Alligator mississippiensis: one gene and its partners. The protein of the gene in region 3 binds, or shares a complex with, the protein of the main gene of each other region. Links are inferred from orthologs where the notes say so. Each region holds a gene or a part of one and is shown on either strand. Other genes may lie near its edges. The genes, in order: DDX6, ZFP36, CNOT1 and NANOS1.

Region 1 (7,859 bases), on a different chromosome or scaffold from region 3:
AAAACTATCAGAACAAAATGGCTTTAAGTTTCATCACCTTGAAACCGCCAGCAACAGCATGGTACCTTGACCTAGGAGTGCATGGATACCCATCTTCCCCCTGCCTCACTTAGTATTTAAACAAGGTGCTGCTTGAGGCCAAGGCTCTCAAGGAAAAAAAACCAAACATAAAATGATTAAGAGGTTCCAGTAAGTTAAAAAGATAGTTGTCAGAGAAAAGCACTAACCTAGAAAACAAAGTATACTGCCATTTTTTTAAATCAAAGTTCACATTGCCAACATTATAATAAATTAATAGCAGTATAAAAAAAACAGTCTTCAACACAAGAAACCTAACAACTTTCCTCAATATCTGCAGCTTGTTTAAAACACCACATACATTTACGTAAATACTTACTTAATAGTGGTGGTCATACTCTGTGCTTGCTGTTGAGTGCCATTATTGATTGTGTTGGCATTTTTCAGCTGGTTCATCTGTTGCTGGGTTTGTGTGCCCCCACCTCCTGGGCCCCCACTGGGTTTTACAGGGCCTCTCAGCTGCCCATTCTGACTGGATAGACCCATTATAACAGGGTTCTCTGTTCTCGCCGTGCTCATGTTTGTTTTTAAAGATGTCTTTTTAGACTTCAAAACTTTGAAAGTCAGTACAGAAACTGTAATAACAGTTTATAAGACTCTCCAAAACGAAGAGATAAATAAGTCTTGCTCAATATATGAGTCCTTTATTGCAATGCAGGCAAGCACCTGTAAGTCACTCAACAGTAAGTAGTAACTTGCTCTGATGCACTGTGGATCAACTTTTTTAAAAAAAGCCCTCTAACAAAGTTGAGTTATATCTGAATCACTCACTTCAATCTGAAAAAGAAGTAAAAACACACAATTAACACACAGATCTTTTGGTGTAAATAACTCACATTTCCATATTTGACAGGACACTGCACACTTTTGGTATGAGACAGCACTTCCAGAACAAGTACACAGTACTTCAAATGAAAAATAAGTGCCACCAATGAATAGTGCTCCCCTTGTTATTTCTAACTGAACAAAGAACTAACATCTACTGGCACCTAGTGAAATTCTGCTTAACAAAAAAAGAGAAAAACAAAACAAAAAGAACAATAACAATCCTACTGCTTTCATGATACTGCATGTGAACTGCTTTGCAGACAGACATCCTGCAACACAGGCTCAAGTCATGCAACTATTTTACCCATCTTGCAATAAAGCTGCTTTTGAAGAAGAACAAAAGAAAGGGTTAACACCATATAATCATTTGTGACAGGAAAACACCACCACAAAATTTATCTTCTGGGAGGATCTGGGGAGTCACGCCATTGCTTGAATCACTAATTTAATATCTTAATGGGGGGAGAAGAGTGCACTGATCATTTGAAACAGATGTCCCGGGTACCTGTTAAGTCAGGGCTTAGGTTTAAACAAATAAGCTACTAGACATGCTTAAACTGCTTTGCTCACACCAAACCATCCAATGCCAGCTTCCTGGCTCTACTCTACTTCAGAATTAGAAGACATTTTTAATGGTTAACTTAGTACCTGCCTCAAATTAGAAATAAGATGCATTTGTTTTAGATCACTAGTTTCCTGTTACCTTCAAAATGCCAGTAAATGAACAAACACATGGTGTCCTCAGAGGATACATAGAAAACAAATGTAAAACGTAGGAGCATAGCATTGGGAAGGTAACGATAGTAAGCTAGTCAACGCAGTAGCTTAACACACACCCACAATTTGCACCCTGCAGGTAGAAAAAAAATGAATTTATTAAATAAACAGGGATGAAAGGACCCCAATTTGCAGCATGAAGTTAGGGGTTTAAAGGGCTACCACCTTTTCAAAACAAGACCTGCAAGGGTAGCTGTACAGGTTCGGTGTCACTGCACTGCCGCACTTTTTAGTTAGCCAGTGTAAACAGAAGGAACCTGTTGATCAACGCGCGCCCCACGCTGTTTATGACAGGTACGTGCCTTCTTCCTGCGATAAAAACCCACCGACAAGATTCAAATATAACCATGCTTAAAAGGGCAAAATCTCTGTCTGAATCTTCTGCCATCTCTCATTTCACAAACGAATTTTCCAAATTTAAAAAAATATCTATTTTCCCCAATTAGTCTTCCAGAGCACAGACTAAAGCTGATCTGGGCAGTGAACTAAAGCAAGTGACTGTGGTTCTGCCAGACACGCGGACTAAGCCCTGGCGAGAATTTCTTCCTTGCACATTTCAGCTGCAGGTACTTCACGTGTGCAAAGCAAACACAAGCGCAGTCCCGCGGGGACCGGGCGCCCATGCAGGAGGCAGCTGCGGAGCAGCGTGGGCCGGGCCGGGCCGGGCCGGAGCGGTCAGGCAGCCCTGCGCGCCCCGTCACGGGAGAAGCGCGGCGAGACGCGCAGCCCCCCGCCCCCGCGAGACCAGGGCCCGGCGGACCAGGGACGCGAACAAAGGCCGCGCCGCGGCACGAGCCGCCGCACCCTGGCGCCACGCGCTGCCCGGCCGCTTCTCCCCTAGCCCCGGCCCGGCCCGGCCCGGCCCGGCCCGGCGTCCTCCTCCCCACGCGCCGCATCCCGAGGAGACAAAGGAGCGCGGCGGCTCCACTCCCGCTGCCGGGCCTCGGCGCCCCCGGCGGGGCGGGCCGGGCCGGGCCGGGCCGGGCCGCGCCGCCCGTGGAGCTGCCTGCGCAGCGCCGGGCGCCCGCAGACAATGGGCCGCCGCCGGGCGCCGTCCCCGCGGGCAGCCCGGACACGGGCCGGGGCCTCCCGCCCGCCCCTTCCCCACCCGGGCCCGGCCCAGGCCCCGGTCCTTGCGCAGCGCCGCGCCCGAGCGGCCCAGCCTGGCCCGGGCCCCCGCGGGGGAGGCCGCAGCCCGCCGCGCCCGCCCGGCCCCGCTCACCGCCGCCGGCCGCGCCCCGCCCGCCCGGGTAGAAAATCCTCCGGCCGCCGCCGCTCGGTGCCTTGTTATGGCGACTCGACGCTCCAAGATGGCGGCTTCCTCCTTCCTCCCGGCGCCGCCGCCCCGCCCCTCAGCGCCGCCGCCCCGCCCCGCGCGTCACGTCGCGTCACGTCACGCCGCCGGCCCCGCCCCGCTACGCCAGCCTGCGGCGACACGCCCCCGCCGCTACGTCACGCCGCCGCGAGCCCGCCTGCTGCCACGTGCATCGGCCCCGCCTCGCCCGAGCCCCGCAGTGTCCGCTAGGGGCGCTCGCGGCCCGGCAGGGTCGGCCTGGCCCCCCCGGCAGCGGGAGCCGCCGAGTCCCCGGGCGCTAGCGAGGGCCCGGGCCGGGCCGCGCGGGGAGCGCAGGGCAGCGCGCGGGCCTGGCCGCTGCCCCCGGCCGTGGCCGGCGCTGCTTTGCATGCGTCTCGCTCCCGCTTTCAGTTCTTGTTTTGGTGCACAGGCCCCGGGGCTGCCCCCGCCCAGGTGCTCCGCACGCCACGCGCCTGCAGCTCCCGGGGGAACCGGCCGGGCCTTCCCAAGGCCCCGGGGACGTGCAGCTGCCGCTCCCCGGCCCGTTCCCACGGTGCGTCCCGCGGGCGGGCGGGGGCGCAGGCCGGGCCCGCTTCCCGCACGAGGCCCGCGCAGCGGGAACCCCGTCCCGGGCGGTGCGGACGCGCCTGGCCCGGCCGCGCGCTCGGGCGCCGGCTGCGTGGGGAGCGGGGCCGCGCCCGGCGCTTCCCGGAGCCGCCCCGGCCGCGCTGCCCTGCCAGCGGGGGGCTCAACGGCGGCAGGAGACCCGCTCCGCTCCGCGTCGGCCCGTGCGGCTCCCGTGCCTGGGGCTGCCACGGCCCCTGCCTCCGCCGGCCCTTCTTGCCTTGGGACGTGCAGTTGCGCGCCCTCCCTCTCGCACCCTAACGTTTCCCTCCTCCCAAGGTGCGGTGCCGCCGGCCCCCCTGCTTGGGGAGAGGCTGGTCTGTCTGCGGTGCCATGTGCCACCCTACTCGGGCACAAAAAGAAGACGGAAGAAGGTGAAGGCGAAGGCGCAGGGCTGGCCCCGTGTGACCAGGCAGGTCACGTTCTCTCACCGAGTTTCAGTCTCTCCCACTTCAAGAGGAGCGTGGAGAATCCGAATTACACGTGCGTGAGCGCAGCCCCGACAGGACGCGTCCAGTCCCTACTCTTGCAGGTGCAATGGCACAACACCCCTTTCATGAAACAATCGTGCCCACCTTAACAGTATTTTTCAGCCCTGCGGCCCTGACCGGGAAGCTGTTCCAGAACCTCAGTGCTGCAACAGTTAGAAACTGGAATAATCCACAGCCAGTTCATGCCTGTTTGTTTCAGAGCCAACGCTGTCCTGGAGTTTCAGATCGCTTTCCCTCCCCGTGTTTACCCCCTAGCTTATTTACAGGGCAAAATCCTATTCCCTCAGCTTTTGTTGTGCCAGGATCAATAAGACAAACTCAGGCTTCAGCTTTCCCATGGGACAAAGCCTGTTATCCTGGGGTCTTGCACACCACAAGCCCACTGTCCCACTTATAGTACCAGCAAAGTATCCGACAGAGAGAACCCCCCCTACCGACACACACTTGGCAGGGCCTCAGTCCCAGTTTCACGGCCATCCTTGTGACCCTTCTACGCATCTATTGCAGTTTTAATTAATCTTTCAGTGAACGGATGATCAAGTATTGTGCATGGTATTCTAAGGAAGTCTCGCGTGCGTCTTGTATGATGACACTGGTACGTCCCTAGCTCAACTGCAAATATCTTGTCTCATATATTCTCCAGGCAAGAATTTTTGTGGGTGATATCTTTTATTGAACTAACTGTCTAGCTGGGAAGGACACAGGCTTCCAGGTACCAATGTACGCTTTCTCAGGTCTCTGATAGTCTAGGATAGCATCTGACTTTTTCAAACTGTCTCACATTGGTGCCTGTCATTCCATGATTAACTAAACACCCAGATCTTTTTCCTCTGCTGTCCTTTCCCACTGATGAGCCCCTGCTTCTAGCAGACATTCCTGTTATTAGTCTCTAAGTGCATGACCATGCACTCTACTATTAAATGTCATCCCATTTCTATTGCTCCAGTCCATAAGCTCCTCCACTTCTTTCTATCTGACCCATATTGTTCACTTGTATTGAAGCTGCCTCGCAACTTTGGGATGACAGTGAAATCCATTAGCACACTTTCACTATTTTCTGCTGAAGTCACTCATAATGGATTTTAAATAGGACTGATTCCAGGACTTATCCTTACAGAACTCCACTAGTAACCGGCCTTCCGGCCCCAGACCTCCTCTTTCAAAACCTACCCGTTGTCTTCTCTTTAGTCAGTTCCTCATCTACCTTACAGTCCTTCTACAGATCCCTGTTTCCTCTGCTTCAGCTAAGAGTTTCCTAAGTGACACCATATCGGACACTTTACTAAGGTCCAAATAGATTAGATCTCCTGGGTTTCCTTGGTTATGTTACCAAAAAAATAAAGTACTAGGCTCCCCTGCCAAAATCAACCTCTGGCAAACCTATGTTCAATTGTATTCACTTTCCATTTACATCTATGTTTTCTATTCTTTTGCTCAAACATTGTTTGAAAGCTTCATCCTATGGAGGTCAGACCTTGATACCTCCCTTCCCTTATCCCCCACCGCCCCCCACCCTTCCTAAATGCCGGTACTAAATCTGTCGTTCTCCAGTCACACAGTACTATCCCAGACTTGAGACATTAACTTCCTTGCTGACAGAGGTCTTTCGGTAGCATCCTCGCTGACACACCTGGGATGTCAGGGGCTAGTTCTTTCAGAATTCAGAGATGGAGATTATTAGTCCCCATCACTCGAGCACTTTTAGCGCCTTGATTTTCTTTCCCACCCGTAATGTGGCAGTTTCCCTTTCCATGTCTTCATTTCTATTAGACTAACAGCAACATTTCTAACAGCAACATGCTTAAATGAAAACTGAGACAAGTACATGTCATTTTTGGATTATCTTTAACTTGCCTAAACCTCTGTACATAGCAGCTCTACTCTTGCTTTTCTTCAGCTCCATTTTTTTCCTTGCTGAAATTTTTTTTGCTTTGTGGTTTTATTTCTTTCCTTTGCAAGGTCTAACTCAGCTTGACTTTTGGCAATTCTTATTTTTATCCTTACATTTCCTGATAGCTAAGACACAGCTTTCTTGTCAATCAGCCCTTTTTCCATTCTTTATAGCTTCTCTCTTGGTGCCTAATACCTCTTCTGGGAGGCTGGACTGGAGCCAGGTTTTCTCCCCACTGGGATAAGAGGTCCATACTTTTTGCACCTGCCTTGTAAAGAAATTCCACGCTTCTGCATTCAAGTCCTTGAGCTCTTTAGTCCATCTAATTCCACTCATTCGTTCTCTTTGTTCAGTGGTTTTCAACCCCGGGGGTCTGCAAAAGATGAGTATGGTCAAAAGTACGTGAATACCCACCCCTACAATTCAAAGGAGTGTGCACCTCCATTCAAATGTTTTTAGGGGTCCGCAAATGAAAAAAGGTTGAAAACCACTGTCTTATTTCATCTTAGTTCTCAATGTTTTCCCTTTAAAAATGGAGTATCTTAATCTTAAAGACCTACTTTTGTTTATTCTTGCATTTAAAATACAACCAAATACATTTATTATTGCTTGACCCAACATTGTTTTTCAGGACTAGATCTCCTATAATGGCTTTGCTGCTTTTTAACTCATACCTTGTGGGGAAATACCAGTGCTGAGTTAAACATAAAGTTGGGTAGCATCCTTGTCCTTCCCCTCCTCGCCCCAACCTTATATACCATCTTTCTTTCAATAAATAGCTGTCCTTTGCTGAGGCCAGAGAGAGGGAGCTGGCCAGGGTGACAAAGCTCCTGTTCAAGCAGCCGAGATCCCCACCATGCTCTTCCAGAAGGAAGGTTTGGACTGAGCCTGGACTCTGGCAGCAGCAAATCGCTCACCCGACCTGAACTCTCCCCCGCAGGTTGCAGAGCATGTTTTGCTGACCAGCAAGCAGCATGCGCTCGGTCTTGGGACTGGTGACAGCCCCTTTGCCCCTCACTGCTGTGCGCAGAACGCCCTCTCGCTCCGTCGGGCCTGGTGACATTCGGGCGTGATCACAGCGAGCCGTCCTGCCAGGGCCTTGCAGGAAAGGATGCCTCGCTCCTCAGTTCCCTCCAATGTGCACTCCCGCCACTTCTGTTTCCTGTGGAGCTGGGTGCCACGTCTGGATTTTTGGCTGCCAAAGAGGCTGGGATTTTTTGTGGAGTCAGGCTGCAGGTCATGCTTCTCTCCTGGCTGGCCATCTCCTCCCAGCACCGTTCTGACAGCTGGGCTGTGTGGAGAAGCCAGGCACCGCCTGCGTCTGCAGAAGACTGGTTGCAGCAAGGGGTCTGGGTCTGTCTGGGTCTAAACAATTCGTAGCTGAGCAGCCCGCCACCTAAGCATGACAAGTGTAGAGAGGGTGGTGTGGTAGGCTCTGTCTCATCCTGTCCTCTGAGCCCACAGGACAGCCACAAACGCTTACTTGGTGCCTCTGGGACGGGGCCTCTGCTCTGCCTCTGGGGAGGCTGCCCCGCAGCTCTCATTTCTGGGAGATTTCCAGCCCCAGGTTCCCAGTGCTCAGCCCTCCATTTCCAATTAACACCACAGGCTTTGAGATGGCTGTTTGACTGCAGACTTCCAAGTGCTTTATCAAGGTTATCAAAACCATGATCGCTGGTTTGCTCAGGGGGGAAAGAGAGGCATAGGGAGGACAGAGGAACCTGCAGAAGGCCGTGCACAGAGCTGAGAATAAAGCCTAAATCATTGGAGCTGCAATGCACGGTATACCTGGCTTCTCCAACCGGGGCTCTTCTTCCTCCATGCTTGCATCCTCACAGAGCCTCTACAGCCCAGCCTCCAGTGCACAGTTAGCTAA
Region 2 (7,474 bases), on a different chromosome or scaffold from region 3:
GTGGGGGGGAGGCAGTGACGGCTGTTTGCAAACAGGAGCCAGGCCACGGCGGCTCCCCGTGGGCCGCTGACCTCATTTCCTGCCTCTATTCTGGGCGGCGGGCGGGGGGCACGGCAGGGGACAGCCTGTTCCCTGCTGCAAGCCGGGGCTTTCTGGGGCTGCTGGAGGCCATTTCCCCCCCGTGCCCCCCCCACCCCGGGGGCAACAAGGGGCAAGGAAGGGGCTGATCCCCCCCAGGTGGAACAGGCAGCCCCCTCGCAGGAGATCCCAGCCCCCCCATGCGAAGGGCTGTAACTGTGATGGGGGTCGGGGATTGTGGGCGTTTGCACACGTGTGCGAGCGTGGGGTGCAGGCCCCTTGGAACGGGTCGGGGCCCGGGAGCCCGCGCGCCTGGGGGCCCTGTTCCTGCTCTGGGAGCAGAGTGTCCTCGAGTCCCCTCTGGGCACCAGCGGTCGGGCCTGACTCACCCCGCCACTTCCCCGCCGCTGCCTCGGTTTCCCCACCTGCCCCTGGCCCCGGTCCAGGTTTCCTGGCACAAACACGCCGGCATTGCCAGGGCAACGGCTCGTGTTGTCCTGGCACCGGGTGCGAGAGCGCAAAGGCCTGTGTCAGCATTGCCGGGGCTGGCGCTGCGCCTGTGCCCACGTCACCGGGCCCGGGACTTGCCCAGCGAGCGGGCTGGAGGGGAACCCGGGCCCCCGGGAGCCCTCCCATCCCCACCCACCAGGGCAGGGACCCCCAACCCCCTCCCGTTAGCACCGTCAAGGCGGAGACCCGGGTGCCCGGACCCCCCATCCCCACCCACCGGGGCAGGGACCCCCAACCCCCTCCCGTTAGCACCGTCAAGGCGGAGACCCGGGTGCCCGGACCCCCCATCCCCACCCACCAGGGCAGGGACCCCCAACCCCCTCCCGTTAGCACCGTCAAGGCGGAGACCCGGGTGCCCAGACCCCCCATCCCCACCCACCGGGGCAGGGACCCCCAACCCCCTCCCGTTAGCACCGTCAAGGCGGAGACCCGGGTGCCCGGACCCCCCATCCCCACCCACCAGGGCAGGGACCCCCAACCCCCTCCCGTTAGCACCGTCAAGGCGGAGACCCGGGTGCCCGGACCCCCCATCCCCACCCACCAGGGCAGGGACCCCCAACCCCCTCCCGTTAGCACCGTCAAGGCGGAGACCCGGGCGCCTGGACCCCCCATCCCCACCCCACTACAACGGGGAACCCGGGCGCTCGGGCCCCTCAGTCCCCTCCGGGCTGGCCCCTTCCTCCCCCAGTGTTTACAAGCAAGCGCCACCACGTGAACCACACGCGTGTGCGCACGTCATGGCTGGCGCAGCAGGGGGCAGGGCCAGCACACCCCTGCTCCCTGTGACCCCATTAACTCTCCCTGTGCCCCCCCGTCCCCTAGCGGGCTTCACATGCCACTTCCCGTGCGAGAGCGCTCGCACGCCCGGCTGGCGTCACAGGGGTTTTCACGCCCATGGAACGGGGCTTTCAACAGCCTGGAAAAGCAGAACCAAGCGGGCAAGGCGCCGAAGGGCTAGGGGCAGGGTGGGCACCGGGAACTCACTGGTGCCCCCTCAGGCAGCGCCACTGGCAGGGCCCCGTGCCCACCTCAGTCACAAGCGTGTGCAAGCCCCCAGGCTGTGTGCGTAGGCCTGAAGCAGGTGCTCCCTGCCCCCCATGTGCTGAGCAAGTGTGTCCTGCGTGTGCGCACGCAGCAGGTGCCCGCCACATGCTAAGCATGTGTGTGCTGCACGATGTGTGTGCACACAGCGGGGGGCCTCCTGTTGTGCTAAGTGTGTGTCCTGAGTGACACACGTGCACACAGTGGTGCTCCCTGCCATGTGCTAAACACACTTGTCCTGCATGACACTTGGGCACCCACACTTCTCCCCCAATGTGCTATGCACGTGTCCTGCATGACACGTGTGCATACTGGTTGCATGATTCAAATGTGTATGAATCAACATGCATGTGCACACGGCCTGTGCTACAGCGTGTGCATGCACTCCCTCGCCTGTGTGCAGGCCCCCAGGCATGTGCACGCCCCATCATTTTGCCCCATGCCCATGCACACGTGCTCACACAGGCGCTCACCTCTGTGCACATGCTCTTCTGTACACACGCCTGTCACATGTATCACATGCAACTGCCCCCTCTCCACATGCATGCACAAGGCAAACCTGGGACACATTGATGTCCACATTTGTGCGTGCACATGCACGCACACACATGTGATGCGCCTCCCTAGCACAGGCATGCATGTGTGCTCACTAGAGACACACGGAAGATACGCTCACAACACTCACACACACGTGCACAATGGAGGCAGGCGGAGGCTTGTGTGAGGGGCCCTGCTCTTTGCCTGTGGATCTGTGAAAAGCCTCGCACGAAAGGCCCTGTCTACCTCTGGGTCTGTGCAACTCCTCTCACAAGGGGCTTCAATCCCTGCCCTTGGAATCAGTGCAAGCCCTCGCACGAGGGCCCTCAATCCCTGCCCTTGGAGTGAGTGCAGGTCCTCGCACAAAGGGCCCCAACCTCTGCCCTGGATCTGTGCAAAGCCTCGTACGAGGCCTCCCGGTGCTGGCCCCCGAGGCCAGGGGCTGTGGCGGGGAGCGGGGGCGCGGGCCGGCTGCCTCTCGATGCACCAGCGCTGGGGACATTCCCGCTGCCCAGGCTGGGAGCAGGGGAATTCCCAGCTCCGGCTCCGGAGCTGCCTGGAGCAGGAAGCCGGAGCCGCGCCTGGTTCCTGGAAGAGGAAGGGCCCCCCACCTCTCCCGGGGGCTTCCCAGAATTCACTGCTGTGCCAGGACTTGAGAGGCCTGACAGCGTGTGTGCAGCTCCTGGCACCTGAGCAAAGGGCTGGGCTGTGGTTGTGCAGTTCCTGCCACTCATGTAAGGCACTGGGTTTGTGTGGGTGCAGGTCCTGGCACATGTGCAGGGGACTGGATTGTGCATGTGCAGCTCCTGCCATGCGTGCAAGAGGCTGTGCTCTGCGTGTGCAGCTCCTGGCACTTGTGCAGAGGGCTTGGTTGTGCACGTGCAGCTCCTGGCACTCGTGTGAGGGGCTGTGTGCGTGCAGCTCCTGGCACTCTCCTCCACTCACTAGTGCCCCTCGTGTGAAGGGCCCTGCTCTGTGCCCCAGGCCCCAACTCACTGGTGCAGCTATTGTGTGAGATGCACACCCCCTTGGGCTGCATGGCAGGAGCCCAGTCGTGCGAGTGCTGGGCCCTGGGCAGCGTGTGCTCACGAGCATTGTCCCACGGATCCGGCCGAGGGGAGAGGAGACCAGCGGCCTCTGCCCTTTGCCTCCGTCTCCAAACACTCGTGGCCCCGTTGTACAACGTGGCCCTGCGCTGGGTTCGGGGTCCGGAGGTCACAGTGCCTTTCCCAGCACTAGTGCAAAGGGCAGAGCCATGCGTGCGGCTCTGGACACTCATGCAAGAGGCAGAGCTGCGGGGTCGTGCATGTGCACGAGCCTTTCCGGTGACTAGCGCAAGGGGCAGAGCTGCACGCCCACGAGCGTGTACAGCGCCAGACACCCCTGCACAGGGCAGCGTGTGGCTCCTGGTGCTCGTGCCAGAAGCAGAGCTGTCTGCCCACGTGGCTCCAGATCCTCGTGCGAGGGGCAGAGCAGCGGGGCTGCGGCTGTGCACGCCCGTCCAGCCACTAGTGCAAGGGGCAGAGCCGCACACCTAGAAGCGCGCGCAGCTCCCAACACTTGTGCAACAGGCCCTGCCTCAGTTTCCCCCGGGAGCCAGGGCAGCCGGGCTCTCGGTACCGTAGTGCACCTAAGCCCCGCGCCGCCCAGCTCCTGGCTCCGCCCCATGAGCTCATTGTTTGCCAGCTCACCTGGCCCCGGCGCGGCTTAACCCCTTCCTGCCCGGGCCCGGCCTCGTCCCCGTCCCCGGGCCGGGCCGGGCAGCGCGGGCGAGTGGTTAGAGCAGGGGAGCCGGACTCCCTGCTGGGAAATGCCCCGTCGGCGGGGGGGGAGGGGACTGGGGGGGGATGAGTCACGGGGGCGGGGCTCATTGTGTAACCCGGGACCGGCGGGGGGGCGGGGCCTTCCCTGATTGCGTCACCGCATTCCCAGCACAGGCGGCGGCTCGGGGTCGGGGTCGGGGTCAGGGTCGCGGGGGGAGCCCAGGTGTCCGGCAGTCCCAAGCCTTTCCCTGCCCGACTTGCCCCCCCGCCCCCCCGACCTCACTGGTTTGGGGGGGGCACCCGGCTATTTATAGCCACTGGCGCTGACTCAGCCCCCCCGTCTCCCCACGCCCCCGTCCTAGATCCCGATCCCGATCCCGGCTCTTGTGAAACGTCGTGATTCACCCGGGCAAAGGGGGGCAGGCCGGTGCCCCCTCCCCCCGGTCACAGCTGGATGCGGGTGCACAGCTGGCGGCAGATGCGGGGGCTGGGCCCGGGCCAGGGGCTTCCCGGGGCGGGCGGGCGGGGCCGGGCTCGGGCTCGTGCTCGTGCCCGCGCCCGTGATTCACTTCCAGGAACCGGGACCTGACTCAGAGGCGAAGAGAAACTGGGAGCACCGGGAGAGGCTGTCCCAGGGAGCTCGGGTGCCCTGTGCCCTCGTGCGAGACACGCTCGCGCTCGCACGGGGGCTGTGTGCGGGCACAAGCAGCAGTGCGGGGCGGGGGGCAGGCAGCTGTTCCCCCTGCGCCCCCCCGCACCAAACCCCAGGTACCCCGAGTGACCCCCTCGTGCAACGCACGAGGAAGCAGCGCCTTGCACGGCCGTGCGAGGGACAAGCGGGCCCCCCCACCCCTGGCTTGATGATGGCACAGTTGTGAGCTCCCCCCGCGCAGGGGGGGGAGACCCCGGGGACTACAGACCCCCCTGTCCCGCCTCCCCGCGCGGAGCCCAGGAGTCGTGGGGAGCCTCCGGCCTGCTTCGTCCAGCCCCGAGCGCGGCACGGGGCACCGCTGAGGCTGGGAGCTCCTGGGAGTGGGGGCAGGAGCCTCGCACGTGGGGCAGGAGGCAGCTTGCACGGGGCCTGGTTGGGGGTCTTGCACGGGGTTTGGAGGGGCCTTGCACGAGAGCAGGCAGGGCCCTGGCCTGGTGGTTTGTGCAAGCCAGGGGAGCCCCGGGGCCCCGGTAGTTCCGGGAACGGGCACTGAGTCACCCCCCTAGCCACACGTACGGGCTCCGGCGGCCTCGCACGGGGTGGGGGGGCACGAGGCAGGGAGATGCAGGCTGAGGCCTGGTGCAAACTCATCGCACCCCCGCCCGGCCGGTACCTGAGGGGGAGGGGCAGGGCTGCACGTATTGCCAGGGGTGTGTGTGTGTGTGTGTGTGTGTGTGTGTGTGTGTGTGTTGTGCCCAGCCAAGGGACCATGGGGTGGGCAGGGGACACAGCCCCTCATCAAGGACCTTGCACAAGTGTGTGCGACCCTAGAGGGGTGTGGGAACTTGCCCCCACCCCAGTCCAGCCCTTGTCTGGGGCTGTTGCTGCCCCACCCCAATCCTGATCCAGGCCCCCCTTTCTCTCTTACCCCCCCGTTGCCCCCTCCCCAGGGCTCCCCAGACCCTGGGCCCAATCCTGATCCAGACCCCCCCTTCCCCCCGTGCTGCCCCATCCCCCGGGGCTCCTGTGGCCCTGATCCTGGCCCCCCTTTCTCTCCACCCCCTTCCCCCTCAGCCCAGACCCTGGGCCCAATCCTGATCCAGGCCCCCCCTTTCTCCCTCCCCCCCACGCCCAGCCCTTCCCTTCCCTTCCCTTCCCTTCCCTTCCCCAGGTTTTACCCTATTCTCTGGTGGCTTGCTTTTTTTTCAGGGCCTCTTACAACAGCGATGAGGTCATCGCTGAGGGGGCGGGGCTTCAGCCTATATAGCCCCAGCCCCAAGTGCTGACCCCAGCTTCTGCCTGCTCCTCTCTGGGGGTCCCACTGACAGCGCAGCCCCCAGCCCCCACGGCCACGCCATGAGCTCCCTCCTGGATGTCAAGGCCCTGTGCGAGGTGAGGGGCTGGGGCCGGGGCCCGGCCGGGCTGGGTGGGGCCGATCCTTGTCTTTGCCCCTCCGGGGGATCCCCAAAAGGGGTAAATCTTTGCTGTTACCCCCAGATTGGGCATTTCTTTGCTATTCCCACCCCCCCAGCTCTGCTGCATGGAGGCGACGGGGCTGGCGGGGGGTAGAGCAGATCTAGGGACGGGGCAGAGGGGTAGGCTTGTTTGTGGGGGGGGCAGGTTGTTGTAATTGCCCCTCTATGGTTTTTGGGGGAGGATATTTCTCTGTCTGGAGGGGCTGAGAGTGGTGCGGGCAGGGCTGAGCCCCAGGTCCGGACCCCTCCTTTCCCCCCCAAGGCCTTTACTCCCCCCCCCCCCCCACAGGCTGCCTGGACTCTGCCCCAGCCTGGGTCGGGCAAGGGGATCTTCCTGCCCCAGGCAGGGGGTGATTGGGGTCGGGGAAGGGGGCTCTTCCTGTCCCGAGCTGGAAAGGAAAGTTGGTGTAGGCTGGTGGGGGTGGCATGTATGTGTTTGTGTACTTGTGTGTGTCCCAGATGCCTGGGTTCTGTGTGTGTGTGTGTGTACTTGTGTGTGTGTCCTGGATGCTTGGGATGTGTGTGCATGAGAGAGAGATCTGAACACTTGGGTTCTGTGTGTCTGTGCATTGCCCCTGGATGCTGGGGCGCGTGTGTGTGTGCGCGCGCGTGTGTCCTGGATGTCTGTGGCGGCAGAAAGCAGGTAGAGACGAACCTTTAAAACGAAGTAAATCAGAGATACAGAAGCTGCGTGTGCGCGTGCGCGTGTCTTTGGTGTCGTGTTTGTGCTGGTCTCTGCGTCGTGGGTGTTTCCATGTCATGTATGCACCCCTGTCTCTGGCGTGTGTCTTTCTTGTGTTTGCGTCCATCTCTATGTTGTGCGTCTCTGGCGTGTCAGGTGTGTCTTGTGTGCCTTCCGTGTCACATCTGTGTCTAGTGTGTCTTTTGTGTTACATTTGTGTGTGCGTGTCTCTGGGGTGTGTCTCTTGTGTCCCCCTTCTGTCCCCATCTCTGATGTGTGTGTTTCTGGTGTGTCAGGCACGCACCTGTGCCTGTGTGTGTGTGTCCGTGTCAGTCAGGTGTCTGTGTGTTGTGCTGTGGCTGTGCGTGTTTGTGGTGCTGTTGCTGCCCCCCCACCCCCCCACACACGCTTCCTGCTCTGGGCTATCGCAGCTGATTTTCCCCCCCGCCCCCAGCCTAAGAGGGGCCAAGACTCGGCCGAGGCCTCGTCATGGCTCTTCCCTCCTCCCCGGGGCCCGGCCGGAAGCCGGGCCCAGCTCCAGCCTCCGCTCGGCGGCTTGGAAATAACCCGCCCGGACGCCTGGGTCCTTGCCCCCGGCCCTGGGGTTGGTGGGGGGGGCCGATGCCGCAGTCCCTGCAGGGTTTGGGGTAGTGGGGGCAGTGCTAGAAGCTGCATAGGTGAGGGGGGCACCAGGCCCTGCTGGGGGGCTGGGGCCAAGCCGACTCCTCGCTGACCC
Region 3 (7,983 bases):
CTCTGCCTGACCTTCCTCTGCCCCAAAGCTAATTCTTGACAATGTGAGTTGCTCTCTGACATAGAGGGCGACCCCCCCCACCTTTCCTCCCAGTCCTGTCCCTTCTATATAGTGTGTATCCCTGGAGTAAGGTTGGAGTGTTGTAGCTGTGATGGTCCAGGAAATGTACAAGAGACAAGGGTGATCTGTTTTTGGTGATCTCTTTTATTGGACCAGATGTATGGAAGCTTATCAAACATCTCTCCCAGGTATACAGTTGGTCCAATAGAAGAGATTAAAAAAACCCTTTCCTTAGAATCAGTAAGGCCAAATTTTTCAGAAGTTCTGTGCCACTGGCTAGAGGGTCAAAGAAGATTTGAAGGCAAAGTGGATTCTCCAAGCTCACTGGTTGCCCCCAAGTGTTCCAAACAAATATTGCAAGTGTGGCTGCAGCCAAGGAACACTAGGCAAGAAGCCTGCCTAGTAGGTAAAGCAAGGAATAGAGAGAGGTGAGATGTGGATCTCTGAGCAAGACTGGTTTGGGAAATGAGGAATCCAGTGAAACAACTGCATCTACTTGGTTTCAAACAGTTCCTTTAAAACAGCAGTAGGCAACATTTTTTCAACAGTGGGTCAGAATGACCCAGCTCAGGTCCAAGGCAGCTGTGCACTAAGACCCAGTAGCCACTGCTGCTGCTTTCCCTGCTGTTTGGGCCTAGTACATCACAAGTGAAGCTTCCAGCAGCCCAACTACTGTGCCACAGTGCAGGTAAAGCCCTGTGGGCCATAGGTTGCCAACTCCTGATTTCAATCATTATACTAAAGGCAGAAGAAGGTTTATTGGATGCTCAACTATTCTCCAACTGGTCTTACAACAACCAGGTTGTCCCTTCTGCTTTTTAGGAAAGCTTTGCAGATCAAGCAGTGCAAAATGGAGCATCAGTTATGTCAGGCGATTTATATTATCGGGCTACGTTGGCGCCCTCCACTTCCAAGTCAACCTCCTCTCCATAGGGTGACTATCACTTCAAAAGGGGAGGGTGGGACACATGCCTACCTTCCTCCTCCCTCTGCTAGCACTACTAGACCAGAGCCAAGTGGAGCAGGGGGAGGATGCAGACTGCCTGCTGAGGGCTCCAGGCTCCCTGCCCTGCTACCTTTCCCTCAGGAGCCCCACACTGGACAAGTGCCTCCTGCCTGCCCGGCAGCAGCAGGGGACATAACTCCATGCTGCTGCTGCCACCCCCACTGCTGCTGGGCAGGCAAGGGGCGCATCCCCATGACTAGCGCAGTGTACCTGGGGGCAGGGCATCAGGTTGGGGAGCCCCGAACCCACAGTGAGCAGCCTGCATCCACCCCCACCCCATGCACGAGTCTGGGGGGTATGTGCCCCCCACCCATGTCTTTCAGCTCAACAATTTCATGTAGCAATTAAAAATGTAAAAGCCAATAGGAAATTCCCCCTTTCCCATCCTCAAATAGCTCTTACAGATTCATAGACATTAGGGCTGGAAGGCACCTTGAAGATCATGAAGTCCAGCCCTCTGCCCCAGGAGCAGGAAGTCAGCTAGGATCAAAGGATCCCAGCATGATAAGCATCCAAACGTTTCTTGAATGAGTCCAGAGTAGGTGCCTGCACCACTTCTGGAGGGAGTCTATTCCAGGCCTTGGGGGCTCGGACAGTAAAGAAGTTTTTCCTTGTCCAGCCTAAAACAGTCATGGAGGAGTTTATTGGTCCTTGCTATCTTTTGGGGTGCTCTGGTGAACAGACGTTCCCCCAGATCCTGATGCACATCCCTTACGTATTTATAGGCAACCACAAGATCACCCCTGAGCCTGCACTTTTCTAGGATGAAGAGTCTCATGGCTCTCAGCCTCTTATCATAAGGCCTATTCTCTTGCCCTCTGATCATGCGCGTGGCTCTCTTCTGGACTCTCTCAAGCTTCTTGGCATCCTTCTTGAATGCTGGAGCCCAGAATTGGATGCAGTACTCCAGCTGCAGCCTTGCCAAGGCCAAGTAGATTCATAGATTCATAGATTGTAGAGTCGGAAGGGACCACAATGGATCATCGTGTCCGACTCCCTGCCCCTGGCAGGAAAGAGGACTGAGGTCAGATGACCCCAGCCAGGTGACTATCTAGCCTCTTCTTGAAGACCTCCAAGCTAGGTGATAGCACCACCTCTCTTGGAAGCCCATTCCAGATCCTGGCCACCCTTTCTATGAAAAATGTCTTCCTAATATCTAACCTAAATCCACTCTCAACTAGTTTACACCCATTATTCCTAGTCACTCCCTGGGGCGCCTTAGTAAACAGCGCTTCCCCTATTCCCCGTTGACCTCCCCTAATAAATTTATAGGCGGCCACAAGATCTCCCCTCAGCCATCTCTTGTGAAGGCTGAAGAGATTCAGCTCTCTCAACCTCCCCCCGTACTGTCTATCACGAAGGTCACTAACCATGCGAGTGGCCCTCCTCTGGACCCTCTCCAGATTCCCCATGTCCCTCTTGAAGTGCGGCACCCAAAACTGGACACAGTACTCCAACTGCGGCCTGACCAGTGCCACATAGAGGGGAGCATCACCTCCTTTGTTCTATTAGTCATGCACGTGCTAATGCACGACAAGGTGCGACTGGCCTTGTTGATGGCCTCGTTACACTGTACAGCGGGAGGATGACATCCTGAGATTTACTTGAGAAGCATCTATGGATGCAAGCCAGAGTTTTATTTGCTTTACCAGCTGCAACATCACATTGGTGGCTCATGCTCATCTGTGGTCAGTCATGACTCCCAAGTCTCTTTCAGCTGTGGTGCTAGCAAGCGTAGCACTGCTGAGCCTATAAGTGTACTGCGGGTTTTTTTTCCTTGCCCCGAGGTGAAGTGCCTTGCATTTTTCGGTATTGAACATCCTCAGGTTTATATCCTCCCACTTACTAAGCTTATCCAAGTCAGCCTGGATCACTAGCTGGTCCTCAGGTGTGGACACTATGCCCCAAAGTTTAGTGTCATCAGTGAACTTGGCCAGTGTGCTTCTGACACCAATGTCCACATCGTTGATAACAATGTTAGAGAACCAGTCCAAGGACAGAGCCTTGGGGGACACCACTGGTCATGGAGCACCATAATGATTCACTTCCATCAACTACTATTCTCTGGGTCCCAGACATCTGACTGTGGTGTAGCCGAGACCGCAATAGTCCAATTTTTCTATGAGATCATGGGACACCAGATCAAACGCTTTTTTAAAGTCCAGATATATGACATCAATCTCTTCTCCCTTGTCCAGGTGATATGTCACTTGGTCATAGAAAGAGATGAGATTGGTCAGGTAAGACCTACCCATGACAAACCCATGCTGGCTGTCCCTCAGGCTGTTGCCATCAGCCAGCTTATCAAGGGTCTCTTGTTAAACCTTAGATGTTTGAACAATTTTTTCTATGCCATGAGCACACTGAGCAAGGAAATCATGAAGGAACATTCCCTCCCAACACAATAGTTTGTCAAGTGTTAGCCTGGTGCCACCGTACCACCTGCTTTACTTCACTCCCTCATTGAATTTAATAGTACTGTCACCCTCAAGGCCTACATCAGAGCCCTGATTCATGCTGCCATGTTCCTACCTGTCCCTATGTTATTTTGTTACAGGGCTGATTCCAAATACATACTGCATTTAGATTGAGCACCTCACCTTTTGCCCTCCAGGCATTTAAAAATGGAAAGAAAAGGGAGCTGTATGGGAAACCACAGAATCCCAGAGAAGCAGGGCTGGAAGGGAGCTCCAGAGGTCACCTAGTCCAACCTCCTGCCTGAGGCAGGATCATCTCTCTCCTGTTAAGGGGGCTGAGTTAGGTTTACACCACCTGCTTTGTTGGCTGCAGGATATCTTAAATGCCCTGCTGCTTTTCAGGTGTACTTTCAGAGTGGCATTTTCCAGCCCAAAGCAATGGGTAGGATGTCTGGCTCACTCAGCTCCACACCTGGCAGATCCGACACTGATGCCTGGGTAGGCCTGTTGCCACCTTTCAGAAACCGGGTGATGAACGGGGCTGGCATAATCCTGAAAGTCATTTGGTTCAAGCCCCTGCCCGAGCCAGCCCCGCGTTAGTCGCTCTGCTCACGTCCAGGGACGGAACAGAGAGCAAGGCAGCAGCACACGGAGGACCTGGGCTGGCGAGCTGGGCCGCTTTGCTGCCACGTGGGACGTCGAGGGGGCGTCTCCAAACCTCCAACCTGGGCCGCTGGCAGCGCAGCCCGCACAAGGCAGCCGGGCGAGCCGAGGTCACGTGATGGAAAAAGGCGGGGGAGATTGTACCACGGGGTGTGGGGAGACGCGCATGCGCCATGCCACTGTGAGACATCTGAGTGGGACTAATGGGGCAGTGAGAGGACGACGGGTTGTACCACTGCACAACGCTGGAGGGCGGACTGTACCACTGTAATCCAGGAAGAGGCAGGCCATGTGCACAGGCGTCGGACTGTACCACTGGGCAGCAGGGAAGGGTCTGAGTGGAGCGTGAGTCGGTGCTGCCCCTGGCGGGGGGGAGGGAGCTGACAGCCCCTTCCAGCCCCTGCTGTCACCGACGCCCAGCTCAGCCAAACTCCGCTATCATTAGCCGGTACTGCGCACTCAGTTTCCTACTCCGCCGGCCAACCAGCCTCGTTTACGCAGGCGCTAAGGGTTAAAGTCCTTCCTTGCTGAGAGCTGTTTCGTGATTGGCTAGAGGGACGGAAGGCGTGGTGAACCTTCCCAGCCAATCCGAGCCCGCCGCTAACTCCGGGGTGGGGAGGGGGAGGAAATGTGTGTTGGACTTCCTTCCCCCCCCCCCACTTAAGCAGCGCCCTTCTCTGATTGGACGGATTCCGGGCGCGAGGGCGCTAGCTCTGTGCGGCGATTGGGCGGGCTCGGCGTACACAGGCGGAGGGGCCCCGCCCGCTGCGTGCCGCGAGGGGACGGGGGAGGGGAAAGGCCGCGACGTGAGCGCGCGACCCCGCCGCCATTTTGTATTGAGCCAGCGGAGGCGAGCGGCGGACACAGGCAGCGCGAGAGGCTGAGCAGAGCCCGCTCCAGCCCCGGCCCCGCCCGCCCCCGCGCCTCAGGTGAGCGGCCGGCCGCGGAGGCAGGGGCCGCGGGGCGGCACAGGTCGGGGGCTGCAGGCCTAGTGTAGTAACACCTAGGCGGGACCCGGCGGGAGCCGATCGCGGGCGGGCGGGGCCGGGCCGGGCCGGGCCGGGCGCGTCCCGTGGAGGGAGCGTGGCGTAGGGGCCGGCGCAGAGCTTCCCGCAGGGGGAGCCCCAGGCTCAGGCCCTGAGGCCCGGCAGTTTCCGGGGTCAGCAGCGTGCGAGACTGCGCAGGCTGGTCTCTTCGCTGCTGTCTGGGCGGGCTCTGGCGGGGAGGGGAGTGAGTCCAGGGCCGTCCCGCCGCCTGCAGGCGCCAGGGAGAGTCCCGGAGCGGCTCGGGCTCCTTTCCCCCGCTGTCCTGCCGCGCGCGCGGCCTGCGTGCGGGCCGGGGGCCCGAGAGTGCCGAGCGGGTTGAATCCGGGCCCCGATGAGTGACCCCTGGCGGAGAGCCTCGAGGCAGCGCGACGTGTGCCCGCTTCTCCACGGATCCACTCGTGGCATCGAAGTATGCCGGACTGGCGCTAGTTGGCCATTTGGTTCAAAGGTCCCGGTTTTCTGCTTGTGTTTTCTTGTTTAAAAAAACAAACCTGAAAAGCAATTTTGAATAGGGGTTTTCTGTACACTTTAAGTATATGCATCATTTTCTTGTGGTAAGCTTTAGCTTTGTGGAGCGTGGAGGGGGAAGCGTTCAGTATACAAAACAGCAGGTCACTGGGGAAAAAATACATTGGGCAAAACTTGCTCTAAGTAGTCAAACAAATCTAGTTCATTCTTAATTGACACCTGAACCCTTAGCATTTCATTTTCCTTTTTCCTCTTTAAGCCCTTTCCTGAAGACTAAACTTTTGTGGATCACAAGTTACTTTTCCCTTTAAAAGATCTTAGCATTCTGGACATGTTAACTTTGACTCCTGTGCAAGCAAATTGTGGGCTATTACATGGTAACTTATAGTCCAGAGTTTAGAAGACAGGGTTGAAGCCATATCTCAGCCTGTTGAAAAAACAAATAAATACCTAAACAGTGGATTTGGTTGTTAAACGAGACTAATCTGAAGATGTGGCCCTAGTTATCCAGAAAACCAGAAATGGCAGCACCATGCACCTGGACTTCTAAATTTGTCACCCAGTTGAAAATGTGGAAAGAAGTTGCGTAATTCCAAGACTTGCTTATTTCGGAACTTCGTAGGATCTTCTTAAATGTAGTTTTATTTTATATGTGTATTTATAATTCCAGGCTCTTCTTTCTCTAGGCCTTGGCATAAAGCAGGGACTATTAACCAACAGCTTGTCTAAGGTTTGGTTGTGTTAATAACTACAGTAGGAATGAGCAGATCTTAAACTTATTTAACAGGTACAAAAGCTGATGCTTGTGTGACATAAAACATGCACTTTAAAATGTAGAAGTGTCAAGTTTTGTCTCTTTAGACACTATCTAGTCTGAGCTCTGCTCTTAAGGAGTATGGTAGGAAGCACGACAACTCAACAACAGCTGTCAGTATCTTTTGATTCCTGTTTCCAAGGTAACTACAGTATCTTGGATTGATGAAACTTGAAGCAAAATTAGTCCAGATGAAGTAATTAGCTTGTGAACAGGAAGTCAACTTCGTTACATAGAAATATGCTTTTCATCCTCCCTCCTGGACATTTATTGGGTGCTGTCCTCAACTTCTGTGTGCATACGCTTCTACAACTGACCCCCTTTCATTGCCAGAGCACTTGTTTTGATCTCCCTGTATCTTTCTTGGGAGGGAGACTTGCTTCATTCTTTCAGAGAGTAATTGATTTAAAATTTCTCATCTGGGAATGAAATGCTAACATGGCTATTCTTATGTTTCAGGCATAAGAATAGGTAGTGTTAAATAAAGCAGAGTAAGATTACCTTGCTGCTATTGAGGGGAAAAATGTAGTAAAACCTTGTGATGTAATGACTAGTTATCAGTAAACCCATAATGCTGGGAAAACCAGAATGGAGAAATGTAGTTTTACCTCAGTGCTCGGGTTTGTTTCTATATGCAGTTAACATTGAAGGTTATATTGTTGTTATGGAGGTTTTCCTTTAAGCCATGTTATAACATTTATTGCCAACACTTGGAAAAAACACTAGAGCTAAAAAAATAGAAGTTCTCTTTCCTGGCCTCTTAAAGATGGGTTTATGATTCCCTTACTGACTATGGTAATCGGAAGAAACTTTAAAACTTTTGTTTGACTGAAATGAAAACAGGTAGTGGATTTATCCTGGAATTCTTTATTGTGTCACATTTTCAAAAACTTGAAACTACCAAAAAGTTTCTTTGCCATGATGTATTCCAAGAAAAGCAGCTAGAGAATGAGGCTGACTAGCTGTGATTGACTTCTAACAAAAAATGCAAGGTAGTTGTGTTTAGAGAGAGCTTGTGGCTGAAATGTAACCCCCCCACCCTGCACTTACATGTTGACTGCTGAAACTGTACTTGTTAAATAGCTTGGGGGGCGGGGGGGGATGGGACATAACAGATTTTTAGCACTTATTTTAAGTGAGTGCTCTCATGCAAGTTGAGTTAGCTCAATTGTTTATCTGTATAGTTGTAATGTAAAATAAATCTGTCATTCTAGAAAATCCAGATAATTTGGTTCCGGTTAACTGAGATTGTTGTGACTTGCTAACCTGTAAACAATATTTGGTTCAAATCCAAGATGCCAGTAAAATTAATCAATAACTTAGGTCAAGTGATGACAGTTCAGGTATGCAGTTTTGCTTACCCATAAATTTTAAAAGCAATAATAGTTTTACAGTGTAACTTTCATGCAGGTATGTGTCAGAGCTTTGTTTAAAGTATTCTAATGTGAATGTTAGCTAAAATGTGTGAAGTAGTCTCCTACACATGAAAGGAAGTCAAGTTTCACCAGG
Region 4 (6,849 bases), on a different chromosome or scaffold from region 3:
ACAGATACCGTACATCTGAGAGCCTAGCACTAGCAAGGAACACATTCATTTGACATATGGAACATGAAAGCTTAATTTAAAGCAATTATAGGGAATATTTCTCTCAACATATTTCATGTACATGTACTGTCAACACACATTAGCTGTCAGAGTGCCAGAGGACACGAGGTCAGTGCTACTGCAGTGATAACAATAGGTCTCCATCTTTTATAGCAGTTCCATAGCAGAAATACTTTTCACATTCCTCTGCTCTTCGTAATGCTCCCCACACGTGGTAGGAAGGCACAGAATGACCTAACCAGCCTTTTCCCTTTCTGACTTTGATACTTGCACCCAAGCATTACAGCACAAATGGCATAAGACCATTTGCTTTTTGAGACTGGCTGCTATCAACAGCTAAGTAAAAAGAGAATGAGCAGGGAAAGCTAGGACTTAACAAAGGTGCTGCCCTCCTGAAGACCTGATTTAGCTGATGGCTTTGCCATTTCCACTGACATCAGTAGAAGCTGCAGGTGTTTGGCACCTCTGAAAATCAGGCCATTAATTTGTGCTCAGAGAGGCAGGCAGCACCTGTATGGCTCATTGAATATACCCTTAAGGCTTCTCTTGCTCTAGCATAAAATGTAGCAGCTTGAAACAGAACTAGACACAAGGCATGATCCTGCACTATTGAAAGCAGGTCAAAATGTCCATTGAGTTCAGCGTGCAGAACCTTCCCCTGTGGTGATAACAGCTCCGCTGCTGTAACACCCCAAAAGAGTAACTATTAAAGCTGTTAATAGCTCCAGCAACTACAATCATATGAATAGGCCCTTTGCAAACAATACACCCACTTAAAAGCCCACTTCAGGCTGCCACCAAATTGCCAGAGTGTAATGAAAATCGGGCCCTCAAGAGTTATTTTGATATTGCAGTTTATTAAATTTCAAAATTTAAGTTGCAAACAAGCCACATTAGAATCCTTGTTTAATTGCCAGGGAACTGTCTGTCAGATACAAGCAAGGTCCTGGTGACAACTGGCAAGATTTATTTCATTAAAGGTAGCTGAACCTGCTCAGTTTAGCCCTACCATTCTGACCTTGGGCTTGAAATTAGTGATATGTTTTAACTGCAGTTGTATTTCTAAACCCTCTTATTCAAAATTAACATTATTTGTTTGACAACCCATTTGAGAGTCTGATTTCTATAAGCCAAATTCATCCATACCACAACAGAACACAGCCCTTTCTCAGGATCTGATCAAAAGCCTTATAAAGTTTGGTATTATTATATAATATTATAAAGTGTCGTAAAGTGGTATTTTATTATTGATCAATAGTATTTATTTGTACCGTGATAATGCTCAGAAGCCCAGTGACGCACCAAAAACGGTCTCTGCCCCCAAGGACTTCACATTTGCAGTGGGCAAAGCATGCACTGACATAGAGAGATCTCTGTCAGACTGTTACTTCCCATCAGTCAGAGACTTTTTCTGGCACCAATGAAGTTGCATACCTGCACCAACTTCCTGCAGACAGATGTTAAGGAGGAAATGCAAGCACCCAAGTGATTAGATGACACCTTCCAGAGCTGCACTCTTCCCATTAAGGCATCTTAGTTTCATAGTAGGTAGGGTCAGAAGGGACCTGAGCAGTCATCAAGTCCAACCCCCTGCCATGGCAAGAAAAAGTACTGGGGTCAAACGACCCCAGCAAGGTGTTCATCTAACCTCCTCTTAAAGACCCCCAGGGTAGGAGCCAGCACCACTTACCTTGGAAGTTGGTTCCAGGTCCTAGCCGCCCTGACTGTGAAGTAGTACTTCCTGATGTCTAGTCTGAATCTACCCTCTGCCAGCTTGTGACTGTTATTTCTAGTCACTCCTAGTAGTGCTCGGGGGAACAGGGACTCCCCCAGTGCCTGCTGGTCCCCTCTGACTAGTTTGTAACAGGCCACTAGATCCCCCCTCAGCCTTCTCTTGTGGAAGCTGAACAGGTTCGGGTCCCATAGCCTCTCCTCATAGGGCCTGCCCTGCTGACCCCTGACCATGCAGGTCCCTCTCAATGCTGTCCCCATCCCTCCTGAAGTGCGGTGCCCAGAACTGGACGCAGTACTCCAGCTGTGGCCTGACCAGTGCCGCATAGAGGGGGAGGATCACCTGCTTGGACCTGCTTGAGATGCATCTGTGGATGCACGACAAGGTGCGGTTGACCTTGCTGACCGCATCCCCACGCTGTAGGCCTATGTTCATTTTGGCATCAATAATGACTCCAAGATCCTTTTCTGCCTCTGCAATGACAAGAAGGGAGTTCCCCAGCCTGTAGGCGTGCTGCTGGTTCTTCCTCCCCAGGTGCAGCACCTTGCACTTGTCAGTGTTGAAACCCATCTTGTTCTCATCCACCCACCCCTGTAACCTGTCTAGGTCCAATTGCAGCCTATTCCTCCCTTCTAGCGTGCCCACATCCCCCCACATCTTAGTGTCGTCAGCAAATTTGAATAGGGTGCTTTTTACCCCCTCGTCCAAGTCACTGATGAAGATGTTGAACAGCGCAGGTCCAAGGACCGAGCCCTGGGGGACCCCACTGCCCACATCCCTCCAGGTCAAAAATGACCCATCCACCACTGCTCTCTGGGTGTGGCCCTCCAGCCAGTTAGCGACCCATTTTTGATACAAGGGAAGTTGCCAATGATTTCTGCAGCTGCAAAAATCTCTCCCAATAGATTTTCTACCTCAGGCCACAGGATGAGGCACCTAGGCCCAGATCCTCAAAGGTATTTAGGCACTTAATCTTCAGAACAGGTGTGAGTATATATATACAGAAAGAGAGAGAGAGAGATAAATATGTGTCTTCATGCTCCTTTAAAAAAAATCATCATTTCAGATTTACACCTAACAATATTTTTCAGCACAATAGATCTTTTTTTTTAAATCCTCAGTTAGCCTCAAGTAGGGTTAGAAACCAAGTAGCAGTGTTGCAAGTGATGCTTCTCTCCTGCAAGACAGCTATAAACAGCAGGCGGCCAGGAAAAGGCCAACTGTAATTAAAAGCTTTATTTTTAAAGCTATTTCATAGGACTTTTTTTCATGGCCGGCTGGGCTCCCAGTTCTTCTCAACTATGCTGGGCAACCTGAGTTGTGGAGTTTCTCAGTTATATATATATATTGCTATCCCTCACTCTTCCTTTTAGTTTATATTGCATGTACATGTGACAACATTTGTGGGTCGTAGGAACAGTCAAGTCAGACTCAAGCTATGCTCAGGTTCTGTTGTGCACCTTCCAGAGCAGCTTATCTGAGCCCCACCAACTAGTGAAGTTCCTAGTTACCCTACACAAACTCTCTCATATTTGTGGCCTTTTGGGGTAAAATTGGTTTGGGGTAGAATCAAACACAGCAGTTTTCTAAAATCAGAAAGCTCTACTCATCCAGAAAGTACCCGACTCTGGGGAGGCATCTGTTGTCCAGTCACTGCCCCTAATACCGCTTGGAATAGCACGGTTATGTGCGAGAGTCCAGGTGAGGATGTTTTTCGGGTGCATAACCACAGGTGGATCCAGGGGGTGCAGTGGTCCAGTTGCACCCTCCTTTGATTCCTGGTATACCTAGAATTTAAAACCAGCTGCCAGGCAGCAGCATTTCTAGTCTGGCAGCAGTGAGAGACTCAATTGACTTCATGGCTCGTTCTAATCTACTCAATTCTTTAAAGAGTGAATTCCACAGGTGTGAACAACCTCTCTCCTTTTTCACTGTTTTCATGTTCTGCTAATCAAGCTGTCATTTCTCACCAATTCTGCTGCCTATTAGCTGCTCCTGGTACCCAGCTACTATTTAAGAGCATTGTAGACCCTCCTTAACTCTAGCTAAACCCATTCACTCAGGTGAAAATTAGCTCAGGTGTGGAAATAACTTCCAGTGAAGCGTTCACTGGACCCACTGCCAAGATGCTGATGGAGACATTTAACTCTCATGAGGACAGGGCCAATGAAACAGTATGTTTTGATCCTGTTTTGTTGTGTTTTTCCTTTCTCTGCATAGTGGAAAATAAAAGCACGTTCCAAAGAAAAAAGCCTCATTTCTGCTTCCATTTTAAAAGCAATGATATTGCCCTTGGCCCCTGTCCTATTAGCAAAGCAACTCTTTACTTCTGTTTTAATTGGGGAAAACTCTATGTTGAGAGTTGTGGGATGACGCACAGGCAAGGTTCTTCCAATAGATGTGATCTCTTTTATTCCGCCAGCTGAGTAGTTGGGAAAAAATTCTTACCCGGCTTTTGGGTGCAATCACCCTTCTTCCAGCATAGGGAGTCCCTTGCTGCTCAGAGACTCCAAGGACTAAGAGAAGCTAAAAGTGTGGAGGGATGTCAGTGAGAATGTAAACAGGTAGCAATTAGAAAAATACAAGATAAAGGGGAAAAAAAACCCAAAGATGAGTAAGGGAGACACTGCAGCACTTTCCACATCCCACTTTTTAGAGCCCCCCCATCCACCCCGGACTCCACGGGCTATAAAAGTGTTTGCACCGAATCTAAAAACAAAGAGAGACACGACCTATTTAGAAGCAACAGCTGCCTACAGAGCGACCCTGGCCCCTCAGCTGCCCGCTAGACCCGCATCCTCTGCGGCCAGCCCCAGAGACAGGGACTAAACACACCGCGGCGAGAGCCAGGCTCCACCTGCGCTCCGGACCCTGCCTACGATGGAACGCCGCCGCGCGCCGCAGCCAATGAGGGAGCGCGGCTAGGGGGGCCGCCTTGGCCGCTGGCCAATTACAGCGCGGCCCTTGGGCCGAGCCGCGCCCTCGCCCCCGAACGCGCCTACTAGAGCGGCGCGCGGGCGCAGCGCGCACAGACGTGCGGGGCGCTGCAGGCTGCCGATGGAGCCGGAGCAGCGCCCCCCGGCCGTGGAGTTCGTGCCGGGCGGCCGCTGCGGCGCCCGGGGCCCCGGCAACGCCTTCAACTCCTGGAACGACTACCTGGGGCTGGCCACGCTCATCACCAAGGCGGTGGGCGACGACAAGGGCTTCCGCGCCGCGCCCGCACCAGGAGGGCCGGCCGCGGAGGACGAGGACGAGGAGGACGACGAGGAGGAGGACGAGGAGGAGGCGCCCTACTTCGAGGGCGCGCTGGACCTGCACGCGCTGGAGCTGTGCGGCCACCGCGGGCTGCTGGAGGAGCGCTTCGCCGCCTGCCGCCCCTGCCCCGGCCGCGCCGGCCCCGCCGCCGTGCTCCTCGACTGCGCGGCCGGCCGGCGGGCCCGGGCCCGGGCGCGCTCGCCGCCGGGCTGGGGCTGGGGCTGGGCGGCGCCGCCCGCGCGGCTGCTGAAGCCCGAGCTGCAGGTGTGCGTCTTCTGCCGGAACAACAAGGAGGCGGTGGCGCTGTACACCACGCACATCCTCAAGGGCCCCGACGGCCGCGTGCTGTGCCCGGTGCTGCGCCGCTACACGTGCCCGCTGTGCGGGGCCAGCGGGGACAATGCGCACACCATCAAGTACTGCCCGCTCTCCAAGGCGCAGGGCAAGGCGCCGCTCAAACACGCCAGGACCGTCTTGGGCAAGAAGCTGCGCTAGGCGGGCCGGCCCGGCCCCGGCACTGCCCGCCGGCACCGGGGTTTTAACGCGGAGCCCCGCAGCCGGACTCGGAGCGGCGCCCCAGGCTGATGCGGTGCAAGGACTCCGGATGGACGCGGGGTCTGGCCCGAGGGAGGCGCAGGATGAGCTGATGCTATAGAGGGTGGGTGGGGTGGGGTGGGATGGGGGGGAAATCTATATATCTAATTTTAAACAGAGAAGAGATGAGTTTAAAGAAATGTGCCGAGGACTGGATTTGAGAAGAGGGTTTTTTTGGGGTGGGGGGGGGTTGTTTTTTTGTGTGGCTTTTTTGTTTTTTTAATCTCAAACGTTTCGCGGTGGCGCCCACCCTCCTTCCCTCCCTCCCTGGTCTTACGGCTTCCCGGAGCCGAGGGAGAGTGCTCTGCCATGGGCTGGAGGGGGGTGGCACTACCCGGCCCGGTGGTTGTAAGTAGGTAGGTAGGTCGGTCCAGCGGATGCAGTGAGGGCTGCTGTGCGGTGGGGGGTGGGGGATGAGGCCGGCAGTGTCATGATGGGGGGGGTGGGTGGGAGGGTGAGGAGCTACCGTGGTCGCTCGCCAGTTGTTGTTTGTGTTTGTTTTTTAAATGAAATCTGGGTTTCATTGTACTGTGTTATTGGAGGGAAGGGGTCTAAAATCAATGCTCCCCCCTTTCATCCATCCCCTGTTTTCCCCGGTTGGTCATATCGCCTGTACTGGCCACAGCTGGCAATAGAGCTGTTTGGATTTGGGGGTTTTTGTTTTTGTTTTTATACAATGAAAGTAAAGGCATCACAGACTTCACCTCTGCTGCCTCTGTCTTGTTTTCCCCACACCCGCACCTGGACCTTGCATCTGTAGGCGAACTGCTCCCTCCCAGAGATGGGTCTGGGAGCTGTAATGGCCATACCTGCAGTTGCCCTGTGCTTCATGAGGAGTGGTCTTTATTATTTTTTTTTATTATGTTTTTTAATACATGTTGTTCAACTGGAGAATTTCTGTGAAAGCCACAAAGTGGTGAATTCCTCTCGGTGAATAAGGTGCCAAGCCCCTGGCTGTCCTTCCCCCTGACAGATTGTTGTGGCTCCCACGAGCTCAGCTGCTTGCTGCTCATCCTTTTTTTTTCTCCGTAAGTAAACAGAAAGCTGCTGTTTTGAATCCTCCTGGAGGAAAGAGAGACTTGTAAGACCTCATTTAATGGAAAGAAGAAGGGGAAATGCGCCCTCTGCTGCCCCATCTCAGTAGAGGCTGCTTGGGAAGTGAAACAGGCTGCATCTATCTGGTGACTTCTTTTACTCCACAGAGAACC

Evidence for each region.
Region 1: the proteins of CNOT1 (region 3) and DDX6 are in contact, whole or in part, in a crystal structure (PDB 4CRW), measured with the Homo sapiens proteins. The link is inferred for Alligator mississippiensis from reciprocal best matches to the Homo sapiens genes CNOT1 and DDX6. Residues at the interface, in NP_057368.3 of Homo sapiens: Glu1097, Ala1100, Phe1101, Phe1103, Asn1104, Asn1105, Leu1106, Ser1107, Ser1109, Asn1110, Lys1114, Lys1137, Arg1138, Ile1141, Glu1142, Asn1144, Phe1145, Leu1148, Tyr1149; in NP_001244120.1 of Homo sapiens: Phe329, Ser330, Arg331, Leu332, Gln333, Ile334, Asn335, Gln336, Leu357, Gly358, Tyr359, Ser360, Leu384, Arg386, Asn387, Ala402.
Region 2: the proteins of CNOT1 (region 3) and ZFP36 are in contact, whole or in part, in a crystal structure (PDB 4J8S), measured with the Homo sapiens proteins. The link is inferred for Alligator mississippiensis from reciprocal best matches to the Homo sapiens genes CNOT1 and ZFP36. Residues at the interface, in NP_057368.3 of Homo sapiens: Gln821, Glu835, Asp845, Ala848, Asn849, Phe852, Gln853, Tyr856, Asn894, Glu897, Glu898, Phe901, Gln904, Tyr905, Pro906, Glu909; in NP_003398.3 of Homo sapiens: Arg314, Arg315, Leu316, Pro317, Ile318, Phe319, Arg321, Ile322, Ser323, Val324, Ser325.
Region 4: the proteins of CNOT1 (region 3) and NANOS1 are in contact, whole or in part, in a crystal structure (PDB 4CQO), measured with the Homo sapiens proteins. The link is inferred for Alligator mississippiensis from reciprocal best matches to the Homo sapiens genes CNOT1 and NANOS1. Residues at the interface, in NP_057368.3 of Homo sapiens: Ile2327, Ile2330, Lys2331, Trp2338, Glu2350, Phe2353, Gln2354, Val2356, Ala2357, Met2361; in NP_955631.1 of Homo sapiens: Phe40, Ser41, Ser42, Trp43, Tyr46, Leu47, Leu49, Thr51.

What each region holds. Positions count from the first base shown.
Region 1 is NC_081839.1:35,214,628-35,222,486, reverse strand, and holds the start of DDX6 (probable ATP-dependent RNA helicase DDX6), read right to left. Parts: upstream 3,014-7,859; 5' UTR 2,906-3,013; intron 856-2,905; 5' UTR 598-855; coding exon 398-597; intron 1-397.
Region 2 is NC_081838.1:1,300,801-1,308,274, forward strand, and holds the start of ZFP36 (mRNA decay activator protein ZFP36), read left to right. Parts: upstream 1-4,469; 5' UTR 4,470-4,697; intron 4,698-5,669; exon of another isoform or gene 5,670-5,790; 5' UTR 5,791-5,937; coding exon 5,938-5,973; intron 5,974-7,474. UniProt on the Homo sapiens protein: Zinc-finger RNA-binding protein that destabilizes several cytoplasmic AU-rich element (ARE)-containing mRNA transcripts by promoting their poly(A) tail removal or deadenylation, and hence provide a mechanism for attenuating protein synthesis.
Region 3 is NC_081833.1:39,165,358-39,173,340, reverse strand, and holds the start of CNOT1 (CCR4-NOT transcription complex subunit 1), read left to right. Parts: upstream 1-4,972; 5' UTR 4,973-5,075; intron 5,076-7,983.
Region 4 is NC_081829.1:87,817,732-87,824,580, reverse strand, and holds NANOS1 (nanos homolog 1), read left to right. Parts: upstream 1-4,784; 5' UTR 4,785-4,849; coding exon 4,850-5,542; 3' UTR 5,543-6,344; downstream 6,345-6,849. UniProt on the Homo sapiens protein: May act as a translational repressor which regulates translation of specific mRNAs by forming a complex with PUM2 that associates with the 3'-UTR of mRNA targets. Capable of interfering with the proadhesive and anti-invasive functions of E-cadherin.